Linked DNA regions of Astyanax mexicanus. The protein of the gene in region 1 purifies or fractionates together with the protein of each later gene. This does not show direct contact. Links are inferred from orthologs where the notes say so. Each region holds a gene or a part of one and is shown on either strand. Other genes may lie near its edges. The genes, in order: xrn2 and cdkn2aipnl.

Evidence for each region.
Region 2: the proteins of xrn2 (region 1) and cdkn2aipnl purify together in Homo sapiens (co-immunoprecipitation; 6 studies listed by BioGRID and IntAct, with this or other methods). This does not show direct contact. The link is inferred for Astyanax mexicanus from reciprocal best matches to the Homo sapiens genes XRN2 and CDKN2AIPNL.

The regions. Positions count from the first base shown.
Region 1 is NC_064408.1:83,918,499-83,926,024, forward strand, and holds the start of xrn2 (5'-3' exoribonuclease 2), read right to left. Parts: upstream 3,054-7,526; 5' UTR 2,903-3,053; coding exon 2,828-2,902; intron 613-2,827; coding exon 485-612; intron 401-484; coding exon 289-400; intron 1-288. UniProt on the Homo sapiens protein: Possesses 5'->3' exoribonuclease activity. May promote the termination of transcription by RNA polymerase II.
Region 2 is NC_064424.1:48,052,963-48,059,476, reverse strand, and holds cdkn2aipnl (CDKN2AIP N-terminal-like protein), read left to right. Parts: upstream 1-4,174; 5' UTR 4,175-4,328; coding exon 4,329-4,525; intron 4,526-5,391; coding exon 5,392-5,500; intron 5,501-5,767; coding exon 5,768-5,773; 3' UTR 5,774-5,957; downstream 5,958-6,514.

The DNA.
Region 1 (7,526 bases):
GGTGCAATTCTATACAGGTAATCACAGACTATCTCAGTTTTACATTATTGTTATATAATAAGCATCATCAATAGGCAGTTTCCTTAAAAACTGCTTATAACTGGTTTTATAGCACACAAATTCTCTGTTCCAAAAGTGCCCCAAAACAGCTTTAATCTTTTTTTTTTTTTTTTTTTTTTAACTTTGTGCTATTTTATTATTTATGGTACAGTGAGATGATGTTAGCCTGGAGCCCTGCTGCTACTTGTCAAAACTGAAAATAACATTTAAAAATCAGACCATACTTACAACTCCATCGATTGCCATGTAAAGAACTCTCCTCGGCCGAACGATGTTAAAAAGCCGATCAATGTACTCAAAAATGGCAACCATCATTTCATCTTCATTTTTCGGTGCCGGCCTGAAAAGTAAAGCAAACATTGTCTGGAAAAAATACTGACCATCTTTTTTTACATTTATCTTCCAAGCTAATTCAGATACTTACTTGTCTTCAGGATGTGTACAAGGATGGATGATTCCATTCATGTCCAAATAGAGGTTGTCAAACTCCACCTCATTTGGGTTGGGTTTACTGGTGTCAACTGGTATTTGAACTCCATTGCATTCCTTAGACTAAAAAAAGAAAGAAAAACAATGGACACAGTTACTTCCAAGTAAAACAAAAGAATGTATGCTACACTGTATACATCGGCATAGGGCATTGAATTAAAAAAAATAATTAAAAAAATGTGCCATGAGTCTAATGTGGTGGTTTTACTAACTGTTTGGTCAGTTCATTGTTTTAACTATGTATAATAATAAAAAAAATGTCTTTCATTATGCTATTTTATTATGTAATTTAATGGTCGTTAAATAATATTGTTTATCAAAATTTTTGGTACTATATATGGTCCACTTGGTGCAGCTTGGTATGATCCCTGGTGTACTATAGGTTAGTTAGCTTCTTTTGCAAAGGGGTGTTAAAATGGGGGCCAAATTCCAGCACGCCGTTAAGTAACTAGTTAGTCAATTCCCCTGCTCTTACAGGCCTACTAAACATGACTGTTAACAGGTGAATGGAATCAAGTGTGCTTGAGTAGGAAACACACGTGCAGTTTACTTGTTACTTGCTACAATTTAGGTGCAAATTATGGCAAATAACAGGAAAAAGTGCACTGGCAAACTAGACAAAAAACAAGCTCATAAGTGATTTGTATTTAAGTGGTTTTGGTCAGAAACTACAGAGCCCCTAAGGTGACGTAATGCAGATGTTCTAAATCTCTCGGAAGTTGCAGGAATCTACTGTATATAAATAATTGCTCCCTGATCCTTGCAAGTCAGATTAAATCTCCCAGAATCTAAAATGAGTGTCCCAGGAGTGAATGCAAATGTGCAAGCAGCCGACCAAGACTTTTTTTCCCCACAAACTGAGAGGAAATTGTGTTTTGCAGCTTGGGATGTCTACTTTATATATTATAATAATAAAAATAATAAATGTATGATCACAACTTAAGTCGTGGGAACAAGATAATTAAGTTGTGGGAATGACTTACATGGCCAGGATTTAATTATTTCGTTAACACGTTATGGTCACACACTAGGATCTCATTTCTGCACCCTCATTTTTAATGTCTATTGCTGTTACCTTAGGGGCTTAGTAGAAACACACACCGGAGAAATGCTTTTATTTCTGTTCACTTGTGTTTTCCTCTTTATTTACAATTGTGTGTTACATCACTTCTGCATTTATATGTGGCTAAACTAGAGACTCCTGTAGGTTAATAGTTTTTAATTGGAGAGTTTTTGACAAGACCCCAATTTAGAAAATCAGATTTTACAACTCTGAAATACGAGGTTTCGCTGGATCTCATTTCAGCGCCTTAAAAAGTCATGGCTAGGGGTCATATCTTATTGTGTGCAATAATACCTGCAACATTTTTTAATTTTATGAATTAAATCACCAACCACTAATTATCACATCAGGGTACTACTTTTTTAGCAAAAAAAAAAAAAAAAAAAACACAGCACACTGTTCTCATTTCCCATGATATATTTACTACAGACAGATAATATTATTTACTTTACTTCAGTCCTGGATATATGGAGATATCTGGAGTCCATTATTAATATGAGACTGGATCATTAACTTAATTTAGAAATCTGATAAAATACTAGTATATTTTTTTATCTCTCAGTTAGGGATGTGCCATATCATATCGTATCCAATAATAAAATATATATATTTATTTTGTTGCAGTAACGTTAGTGTTTAGTTTAGTCATATCGCCATGAATATCGTTTTTTGCAAAAAAATACCATAAAATATCGTGATATTATTTTAGGGGCATATTGCACACCCCTATTGCCACGCGTTTTTTCTATATATTTTTTTAACGCTAACGTTAGTTAACTAGCGCCTAGTGAATAACTAGCTAGCTAAACATAGGTAACATAACATTTCCAGCATAACATAAAGGCAGAGTTAGCTAGTTTAGCTTAGCTTAGCTCTGGTTAGCTGTGAACAGTTGCTGTTTGAACGTAGACATTAACGTTTTAGCTAGTTAGCTTAGCAGTATCCTCAGTTAGCTAACGCTTGATTATTTAATTAACCGCTGTGTATCAAAAGACTCCGTTGTCTCAGAGACCGTTAACAACACCACTCAGCCCGTTAGCTCCAGAGTTATGTTAAAACCTGGTTTATTAAACTGCCTACAGACTCTAACCTACATATATTTCCCCCTAGTGTTCTGTTAGCTAACTAAAAAGTGCGTGTTATTCTCCACAGGGCATTTCTCCTCAGCAGCGTTAGCCTATTGCTAGCGCTAGCTGTAGCATTAGCTTAGCTTACCTTCTCCTCCAAACAGTTCACAATTATAGACGCATATTTCCGACTCAGCCAGCGGAAAAACGCCGGCACTCCCATCTTCTCTTTAAAACCACGAGTTTAAACTGACCGTGTTTTTAAAATAATATATCTGTGTGAAACTTAAAAACAGCTCGGGATGAGTGGGAGCCTGTAGCGCAGCGGAGCAGCGTGCTTTTAACCAGCTAAAGAGCTACAGCTCAAACACAGGCCGGGTTTATTCCGGTTCAAGAGCAGCAGCGGCGGAGCAGAGCAGATCAGCGCGCCCCCCACAGTCTCAAACACACAGCTACATCCACTCATTCATCAACCTGACCAGATCACACCAGATAGTTAATTATAGCGGGAGTCCTGCCTTTCTCAAAAACATCACACACTTAAAAAAAAAAATAATAAGCACACCATGCTGACCAGCTTAGATCATGACCAGTGTTGATCAGACTAAGCTAGACAATTTGTATAAGTAAGCTTGACCAGGCATGAGCAATGAACATTAAATGTGTTACATACATGTTTTGGTGGATTACAGCTTTATATGTTTATAATAGACAACCAACCATTATTAAACATTGTCTCATAGTAGGGCAAACTCCAGCAAGCTTAAGTAACTAGTTAACTAATTCCCCTGCTCTAACTGGCCTACTAAATATGACAGTTAACAGTTGAATGGAATCAAGTGTGCTTAAGCAGGAAAAGCACTTGCAGTTTGCTTGTTACTTAATGTAGAGTCAAAATATGGCAAATAACAGGAACTGCATTGGCAAACTAGATGAAGAAACACAAATTTATGCAGCTTTTAAATCCAACGCTTTGGAGATTGTAAGTATGATGTGATTTGTATTCGAGTGGTTTTGGTCAGAAACTACAGAGCCCCTAGGAACCCATGATGTAAAAAGAAAAATAATATTATAATGTGTGGTCACAATTATTAAGTTGTGGGAACTACTTATATGGCCAGTATTTAAGCATTTTATTCCCACGCCTTAATAACTCATCCCAACAAATGTATTATCTCATTTCCAAAATTCCAAATTGATCTCGCCTAACCTGGCCACGCATTAGGATCTTGTTTCCGCAGCTTAAAAAGTCATGGCCACACATTAGGATTCTTGTTCCCACACTGTAATAAATTGTGGCCACACATTATATTGTTTCTTTATTTTTATTTTTTTGATTATGCTGTTACCTTAGAGGCTCTGTAGAAACACCACGAACCCCCCGGTGAAATACTTTTTATTCCTATTCACTTCTGTTTTTCTCTCTATTTACAATTAGGTAATGCATTATTGCTGCAATTATATGTGGCTTAAAAAGCTAGACAACCTGTGTGAGTAAGCTTGAACAAGCATTATATATTCTTCAAATAAATTAGCGATTCTCGATTATAATAAAGACTTAGTTTGTACCATTTAAAGTGATGTGCAAGCTATTGTTTAACAAATAGTAAGCAGCCCCCTTCAGCCTTACATGAAGCTCTTATGAAAATAAGAAAATAAATACAAAGAGTATAAGGGTATAAGTATAAAAATACTAAAAATATATAATATAAGTTGTATTAAATATAAGTTTGATACAAAAACCTATATAAAACCATAACATTGTATCAGTGCATTAGAGAAAATTTTAAGTTTATTTAATCACTTTTTGCTATCTGGGTATGCTGGTCAAGAGCTTACAAGCTCTTTTTCTGACCAGCTAAGGCCATCTTGAATATTGAAGACCATCCAAATCCAACTACTTTCAAAAGCTGGTCTTAAACTTACATAGGTACCCTAATGCTGAATTTAATAGTTGCTGCTATTTTTGTTGCAGCTCAAAATTACAAGTGGTTAGGATCAGAGAATCATTTAAACTGGAGGTTGATGAGACGAACCTTAAATATTGATACGAAACAAAATAACAGATTCTGCTCACACTTACAAAGACTACTTTTTCTTCATGCCCCAAGCAGGGGGAAGAATCTTTCCAGCATTCAGGTTTACCCATTTTTGTGCACTGACTAAATCCTGTACTACATTTCTACATTTTACTAAATCTGTTTTAAAATGTACACTTACCTGCACTATGCCTTCCTCTTGTAAATATTAAATGTTTTCAAACTGGAATCACTTTATTATTTTGTTGTTGTGGAAGGGATATCACTTAAAATTGTGTCACTCTCCTCATTTCACAGTTAACCCAATTAGACAGTGAGACAGTTCATGTGCAGGTCAGCGTCATGGTCATGCAGTGAGCATGGGGCTAATGTGCTTTAATTGCATTTCTAGTAGTGAGCTGATGCTTCATTAACAGGCATGGGATTATATATGAGGTTCTTGGTATAAGACTCATTTCTATGCAGAGGCTTTGATGTGGTTGATGCATATGCAGAGACTAGTCCTTATCTTCTTTCTCTCCTCATAAGTGAACAGTGTGCGCTCTCTTCATGTTACTTCCACGAACCCATGTTCATTAATGCATCCTTTTGTACACATATTTTAAAGTACCACACACACAGTTTGTCTAATTAGACGATGAATTAAACCAAATTCCTAAAGCACATTAAAACCATAGTTCAATGGAGAGTCTAAATTATCATCCCCTTCCCCTCGTACTATGTCACAGTGTTGTAGCATATTTGCTTGTGTGATTTCTAAAATAAGGACCATTTAAAAGGTTTTTAGACATGATAACAGCACGTATGCTATTTGTGTATGCTGTGTATAATTCTGTTGTTTAACAATGTATCTCAGAGCCCTACTGGTTGGACAAAATTAATGCTTGTACTTCTTGTATTTAATGTTCTTTTACTACAGTACCCAAGGTACAGAGCCCGGGAGGGGCCGTGGATAAAAAAAATAATTAAATCGAGTGAACGATATAGCAGTTCTGTACCCAAGATGCACCACACAAATGCATGATAATCTCCCACAATAGTGACTAACATAGCCATAGCATTCTGTAGTCCTACGCCCATATTTGGAGTTCCGTGTCTAGGCTTAATTGCGCAATGAGCAGAATGAATGGGGTCTATCACAATCTGTGATTAATAAATATGTTCATAACCATATATGTTTTATTCTGCGTACAGTTTTCTTCTGATTATCACTGGATTTTCTGAACTACGAGATTGTTTAAGAGTCGTAATAAGAATTTGCTACAGTTAAGCTAATGCAACAGTAATTGGTAGCTTTTTTCATTTTCTATAGGGTTCTGAGCATATTTATTTATTTATGTGATTGAGGTGATAAAAAAAATTCTCCCCATTGGAAAATTTAGCTTACACACGGAACACCAAATGTGGGCATAAACAACATGGTGCCCACTACAAAATGACATATGTCTATTAGTGCTGCTATTTATTTAAACGTTCCCCCACCTTCAAGATAAATTGCAGCTCCACTGTGGGACATAAGTATGCATGTTTACGTCAGAATAAGGGATGGCTATGGTTTTCATTTCGGCCAAAGTGCCACTTTAAGTATATGATGGGATCTGTCAGGGCAAATAGACTAAAAAAATCATGTTAATCATAACGTGTTTTACAATTACAGTCTTCACACAAACTGAAAGCGTCCACTAGCCATTTGAAGGCACTCCTATTACCTTCAATAGTAGAGATGATCTGTTTCAAGAAAACTGTCTCAAAACATGGGTTAAATATGATGAAGTGAAGGAGGTATATCAATACAAAAGAACATTTTAAAAAGAACAGTGAGCGCATAGGTTGTTAACAATGTGAACATTGTATGTACACTGAAAAAAATCATGTGTTGGATTTACTTAAAAAAATCAAGGCAACGTTTTGCACCAATTTTTTTAAGTAAATTCAACTTGATGAATTTTTAAGTAAGTTCAACTAAAAATATTTTGTTACACCAACTCATTTGTATTAGACTCATACAACTTAATATCAAGTCAGTCCAACTCAAAGAAATCAAGCTCAATTTACATATTCACCTATAAATATTAAGTCAGTCTAACTCAATGAAATCAAGCTTAATTTATATATTCACCTTTAAATATTAAGTCAGTCTAACTCAATGAAATCAAGTTTAATTTACATATTCACCTTTAAATATTAAGTCAGTCTAACTCAATGAAATCAAGTTTAATTTACATATTCACCTTTAAATATTAAGTCAGTCTAACTCAATGAAATCAAGTTTAATTTACATATTCACCTTTAAATATTAAGTTAGTCTAACTCAATTAAATCAAGCTCAATTTACATATTCACCTTAACAAATTATAAATGTACAAATTGACTTATACAAAATGTATTACTTGAATTTATTTTTATTAATACATTTCTTACTCATACATTAACAATGCATGAAGTTGAGGTACAGTATTTTTAAATTCCTAAAATATTTAAGAATTGAAACCAAAAACTCAGTTTCTCAGTCCAACATACAGATTCAGATTAAGTGCAAAATGAACAAAACATGCAACAGACTCCTTAAAGAGGCCTTGAGACCTGCTGTATAGTTTTAAATGAACAAAAGCTTGCCAGTTTTAACAGTCAACTTTAACAGTCAATCATCTGAAAAATCCAAACATTTTAGGAGTTTTAAAATCCTAATGATTGATGGCTGACTAGTAAAAGTATGGGGGGGGGGGAACTACAGTTACACTTACAAAGACAACACTGTCATTAGAATATGCCAACAACATCAGTGACCATAAATTGCAGCAAGTTACA
Region 2 (6,514 bases), on another chromosome or scaffold:
AAATCCTACAGCAATCATCCACAGCATGTGTACTAATCTGTAAAGATGTTCTTCAGTAAAAGATTTGGGTCAGTCTGGCCAGCACAACTGTTCATTATTTTAAAGACAAATTACATACATTTATACCTGTGAAAATGTGTCATGTTTTGTTTAACAAAGTGAGTAAAGTAATGTTTAAGCCGATTCTCTGCCACTGCTCTCCACAGTACAGCAGATATATAAAGTTAGTATAAAGCATGAATTATAAAAATGTATAACAGGTTATAATAGCCTGAAGGGAGAACACTGTATACAGCAAGAACCCAGAGCCAAAAGCAGCAGTAATACAGTGGGAGTCACTACAGATGTCTTTATGTTTCAACAAACAGAAAACAAGGTTTAATGGTCACAACTTCAAATGTTTTTTCACTATTTTTATATTAAATTATACATAATATTTGAGCTATTATAATTATTTTATACAAAATGAATGTCTTCATAAGTTCTTGTTGTATACAATTTAGACTTTTTACAGATTTTTAGTTTATATTAAATGCTTAAAACTGTCATGTTCACACATAAAAATATATATTTTTTATTTTTGTAATATCACCAAGAATAACAAAAATATATATTGTTACTCTATAAAATAATAATAAATAAAATAATAATAATAATAATAAGCTAAGCTTTTCCAGGCGGATTTTTGAGATCTTGACAGGAGGAACCATTTTTCTAATTGAGTGACATAAATAAACACATGCTGAACTCTACACACAGCACAATCACAAGCTCATCTTCTGGCTTCTAGATCCTCCAGACCTTCTCCCATCAGTCTCAGTGTGTGTGTGTGTGTGTGTGTGTGTGTGTGTGTGTGTGTGTGTGTGTGAGGGGGGGGGGGGGGTCTCATTCACAACACTCCCTCATGTGAGAGCAGCTCTAACAGGATACCACTAACCATGTGAGAGCCTTGCCCCCTTCTCCACCAATCACAAGCCACCTGCCTGCTAGGCTTTGCATAAACACAGCCTGCCTGTGTCACACTGGACATATATGGAGGGTTTCATTGCACTTCTACAGGCTAACATCCCTGTAGAGCCTGCTCACACCATGATCAAATCATATTTAAACTGATTTTATTTGAACTGATTTAATGATAATGTGGAAATTTCTAACCACCTCACAGCACCAGCAGCGAATCATCTCACCCGGTTGCTGAAGAGGATGGGAGTGATGTCTCTACTGATCAGTTTTCCCAGGCAGAGGGCATTTTAGATAACTATGACATGTTTAATTAGCTGGATCACGTGTACTAGAAGCAAGAAGAACACTAAATGTGCAGGGAATGGGGATCCTGCAGGACCAACAGGAGCAAAAAAAAAAAAACCCAGAAGATGGTGAGAACCAATAGTTAGTGGGATCCATATTTACTAAAACACATCCAGAGTTTCAGGCTCGATCTGTTTATTATTTAGGACATGGACAAGAGGCTGGATTCCTGCAGTTCTGTTCTTCAATGGATCCCAAAGTTTAGTAGGTTCGTTAGAGCAGAAACTCCGCCCCCTGCAACGCCCATGCCCCGCCCCCTGCCTGATTTAGGAGGATGTTCCTCCACCTTGCCATGCGCACCTCGCGCGACAACGCCCACTTATCGCACAGCGAGAAGCAGCTTGGACTGTAAGCAAAGGCCACGCCCCCTACAGACCGAACTTAAGCAGGAGAAGCAGGAGAGATAATATTTAACATCAGTTACCTGCGAGTTTTCACTACAGTATAGTGCAATTAAAATACACCTGCATCACAATCATCATCATCATCACAATCATCATCATCATCATCATCATCGTCAAGCGTCTTTGGGTTTTAGAAAAGCGCTATATAAAAATAAAGTATTATTATTATTATTATCATCATCATCATCATCACCATATTAATGCCGGTAAAGTAGCAGTGATAACTGTGATACAGGCTGGGCCAGAGCTTCACCCTGCAGAACCGAGCTAACTTCACCAACCAGCCAAACACTCGGTTCTACTCAAACTTTCCAAACTTCCGGGGATTTATATCTGTAACTTATACGGACTATTTACAGCAGATATTGGTTAAAGTTTAGATACAAACAAAAAACACGATCTGCTGAAAATCTGCGCATCCGCTTCCTTAACATGTAAACAACCCGCCATATGCAGGCGGTCCGCTCCTGATCCCCGCGCGGCTCTTTACCGCGGGCACGAGGGGCTGCTAGAGCTCACTACCCAGCCCCGTTAGGGCACCGTTTAGCTCGCTTGCTTACCGTGTTTGGGCTGGCGGTCCTCGCCTGCGGGCAGCGCCGGGACCGGGGGCGGATCAGGAGACCATTGGAGGCGAACCGCTCGCAGCTAGCGGGGCTACTCTCAACGCTGCGGGGCTACACTCAGCGCTGCGCTGCGGTGCGTGTTCGCTCCCCGCGCCCCTGAATATCCCCCGGGGTGAAAAGTGTGTTAGTTAGCGAGAGCTTCAAAGAAACAAGTACCTCCGTCCGATTATCACGGGATTCAGTAGAAACGCGATGGCCGCCCGCGCAGCGCGCTTTCTCATAGAGATTTAAGCCGAAGCTGCGGCTCCACAGCCCGGGCTGCACTCGCACCCCTCCCCGCAGCCCGCGCTCCGCCGCGGGGCTAACCGGCTAACTCCCCCCCGGGTTTACCTGCGGAGAGCGGGGTCTGACCTACAGCTGTAACCGCACGGCGCGTTAAACACCGTTACAGCAGCTCCGCGGACCTGAGAGTAAAGTGTTACTGCGAGTTAACGAGATTTAGAGGCATTTTAGTTCCCCTAACCCCGAGTTACTTCCTAAGAGAGAGAGACAGCTACAGCTAACGGGCTAGTTTACACACCTTACCCCACAGCCTGTCTCTCTCTCCCTGTCTTTTTTTTCTGTGTCTTTCCCTGTCTATCTCTCTTTCCCTGTCTGTCTGTCTGTCTGTCTGTCTCTCTGTCTGTCTCTCTCTCTCTCTCTCTCTCTCAGACCCGCAGCACACATAAACCCGCACTCTAAACTCTTTTGGCGCCATATTAATGACGTACCAAAAATAAGCCCGTGATCCGCGCGACTCCGGAGAGCGCGAGCTCTGCTTCAGATCATTAAACACTACGGAACATCATATAAATACTCTTTACTTACCGGTAACTCAGTTTAACAGCTGATAAACATCAAGAACGCCAGCAGTTTCTCATATCTGTAAACGGGGCGGTTCATCATCCAGCAAACCGTCCGTTTTACAGTGAGACCGACAGGGGGAGCCATCGGCCAACACACCGCCCTGATCTGCTGTTCCCGGGACAGTTACTATCACTATCACCATTAAATCACCAACACCATCACTATCACTAATAAGACCATCACTAACACCATCACTAACCTTAACCCATCAGCCAACACACCGCACTGATCTGCTGTTCCTGGGACAGTTACTAACACCACCATCACTATCACTAACCCATCAGCCAATACACCAACACCATCACCAACTTAAGGCTTAAATACTAACACCAGCACCAACACTTATAGTATCACCAACTCCAACATTAACACCATCACCAACATTAACTCCATCACCAATATTAACACCAACACCAGTGTTGAGTGGTAGTAGGTGGTAGTGAGAGGTAGTGAATGGTAATGAGTGGTAGTTAACTGTAGTAAATAGTACTGAATGGTAGTGAGTGGGAGTGGATGGTCGTGAATTGTAGTGAGAGTGAGTGAGTGGTTGTGAATGGTAGGGGGTGTGAGTGGTAGTAAATAGTAGTGTATGGTAGTGAGGGGTAGTGAATGGTAGTAAGTGGTAGTGGATGGTAGTGAGTGGGAGTGGATGGTAGTGAATGGTATTGAGTGGTAATGAAGGGTAGGGAGTGTGAGAGGTAGTGTATGGTAGTGAATTGTAGTGAGTGGTAGTGGATGGTAGTGAGTGAGTGGTAGTAAACTGTAGTGAATAGTACTGAACGGTAGTGAGCAGGAGTGGATGGTAGTGAATGTTAGTAAGTGGGAATGAGTGGTAATGAATGGTAGTGAGTAGTTATTGGTGCTAGTGTATGGTAGTGAGTGTGAGTGAGTGGTAGTGAACTGTAGTGAATAGGACTGAATGGTAGTGAGTGAGTGTGAGTGAGTGGTAGTGAACTGTAGTGAATAGGACTGAATGGTAGTGAGTGGTAAATGGGTGGTAGTAACGACAGTGAACGGGTTGGTGCAGGGAGCCGCCGGGACGGTAGGGGGCAGTAAGCGAGCACGTGAGTGTTTAGTTGTGAGCGGAAGCTGGGTTTGTTTTTTGGCTGCGCGCGGTGTTGTGCAGGTGAGCGGGGCGCGCGGGGTGATGGAGCAGTTTGTAGAGATGAACAGACACCTGGTGGATCAGGTAGAGAGCTACCGGACGGTGTCTGAGAGCGAGAAGCACTGGAGGCCGCGGAGAGATTTCATCTTCCGGAATATTAACGATTATGAAGATCCTCACCTGGATCACCTGCTCGCGCTCTCTATGGTCTGGGCGAACCACGTGTTCCTGGGCTGCAGGTGAGATCCGGGCTTTTCCCTTTAGTCCTTTAGTGTAACAGGGTTTAGAGCAGCTCCAGGTTATTAATGATTAATGATCTCCATCAACTTTTACCTGCAGAGACCATCAACCCACCTGTACTCAAACCTGCAGCACAGAACACAGCAAACACAGCCTGAATCACCACAACAATACCTCTGCTATACTGAATATATTAATAGATGATAGACCAGAGCACAGTTAATACAATAACAAAGTAAATAAATATAAAACAGTATAAATCAATAATATCAAAAGAAACCTTAAAACTGAGTCCAGAGGTTTCAGCTCGGTTCTGGAAGTATGTCTGTATTTAATATCAATATATACTTAGAGACACCAACACTGCCTCAGCTAGCTTTATTCTTGTGTTCGTAGAGAAACACATTTTATTTCTGTATAGAAAACTAAGTTTGTACATCAATCTGCTTGTTAATGTGGTATTTAAAGGTGAAATGTTAATGTAAATGTTAAATGTTAAAATTTTGAAAGAGTTTTCAAAGATTTTTTTTATTTAGATTTTTTTAACTGACTTGAAGCACAGTAATCTACACATCACTCCTCTGAACTCCTAATGTTGATTCAGTTAGGAATCCAAAGGGGAACGGACCTCATTTCCATCTGGCAGTAGCTAATTATTGGTAGTTCTTTTTAGTAATAATCTCCATAAAAATAATTTGTTCCTTAATTAGTCCATATAATTGTTCCTAATGAATAAGTTCTCTTCCTGATTTTATTTTCTTATTTTTCCTCTCATTTGTTTGTTCTCTCAGATCCCTCACTCTCATACGACTGTTTATTCCTCCTTCAGTTTTATTTAACTGTAAATTTGTGTTTATTATTTTAGATACAGTGAGGAGCTGCTGAATAAAGTGAAGGAGATGGCAGAAGGAATCGTAGTTGAAGATGCTCCTGTATTTAAAACTCGAGATGAAATCGTCAAAAACCAGCAAAAGGTAGGTTCTGCAGGAATCTTACGCGCGCACGCGCACACACACTCACTCACACTCACTCACACTCACTCACTCACTCACACACTCACTCACTCATTCACACACTCACTCACTCACTCACTCACTCACTCACTCACTCACTCACTCACTCACTCACACACTCACACACTCACACACACACACACACACACACACACTCACTCACACACACACTCACTCACTCACAGTCTTGCAGAAGTACTTTACTGTTCTGATTCTTTCTTTCTCCAGCGGTGAAACAGAAACACTGATCTGATGTTTGGAGTCTCCTGATGACGAGCTGCTCAACTGAATGACAACTTTTATCATGTAAAAGTTTTAAACATTGTTTTGCTGTTTCTTTTTTTTATCTGAAACTATGAATTTTAAATTGTTTTTTTAACTGTTTTTAAACTTCATTTAAATAAATATGTTTAACTAATGCTTGGGTGTTTTTTTTTTTTTTACACACAACCATAAAGACAAAAAATCTGGAAAAGAAAAGTTTATTTTGCTTATACAGCATACAGTATAAATGTTTTTATAGGATAAATTCACAAAAACTAACTTCATTACATATTTTTTCATGAAAACACAGTCACAATATAACCCACACTTTATCTGAAAACTGAGCTGTATCATTCTGTATAGGACAGAGTATATTTATTAATGCACATTTCACTTTTTATTTGCAGCCACATACAAATGAAGGTGAGTGCTGAATGTCGAATGAGACACAAGCGAAGTGATTGGAATATTATATCTAATCCAGCCAAACCAGAACATGGTGGTATTGTTTAGATTGTAGAACAGAACTGCTGTTGGTGAAATTCTCCAACTATAAATAGATTTATTTCCTTATACAATATCTCAATATTTTTGCCAGCAGTTTCCTTTCCTTAAAACAAAGGTAAAGAAAATTATATTTTATGAATGTAAACCATCTGAAAGTCTACATTTACTGCAACAATACTACAAAGTCTGTTAGCAATAACTTAT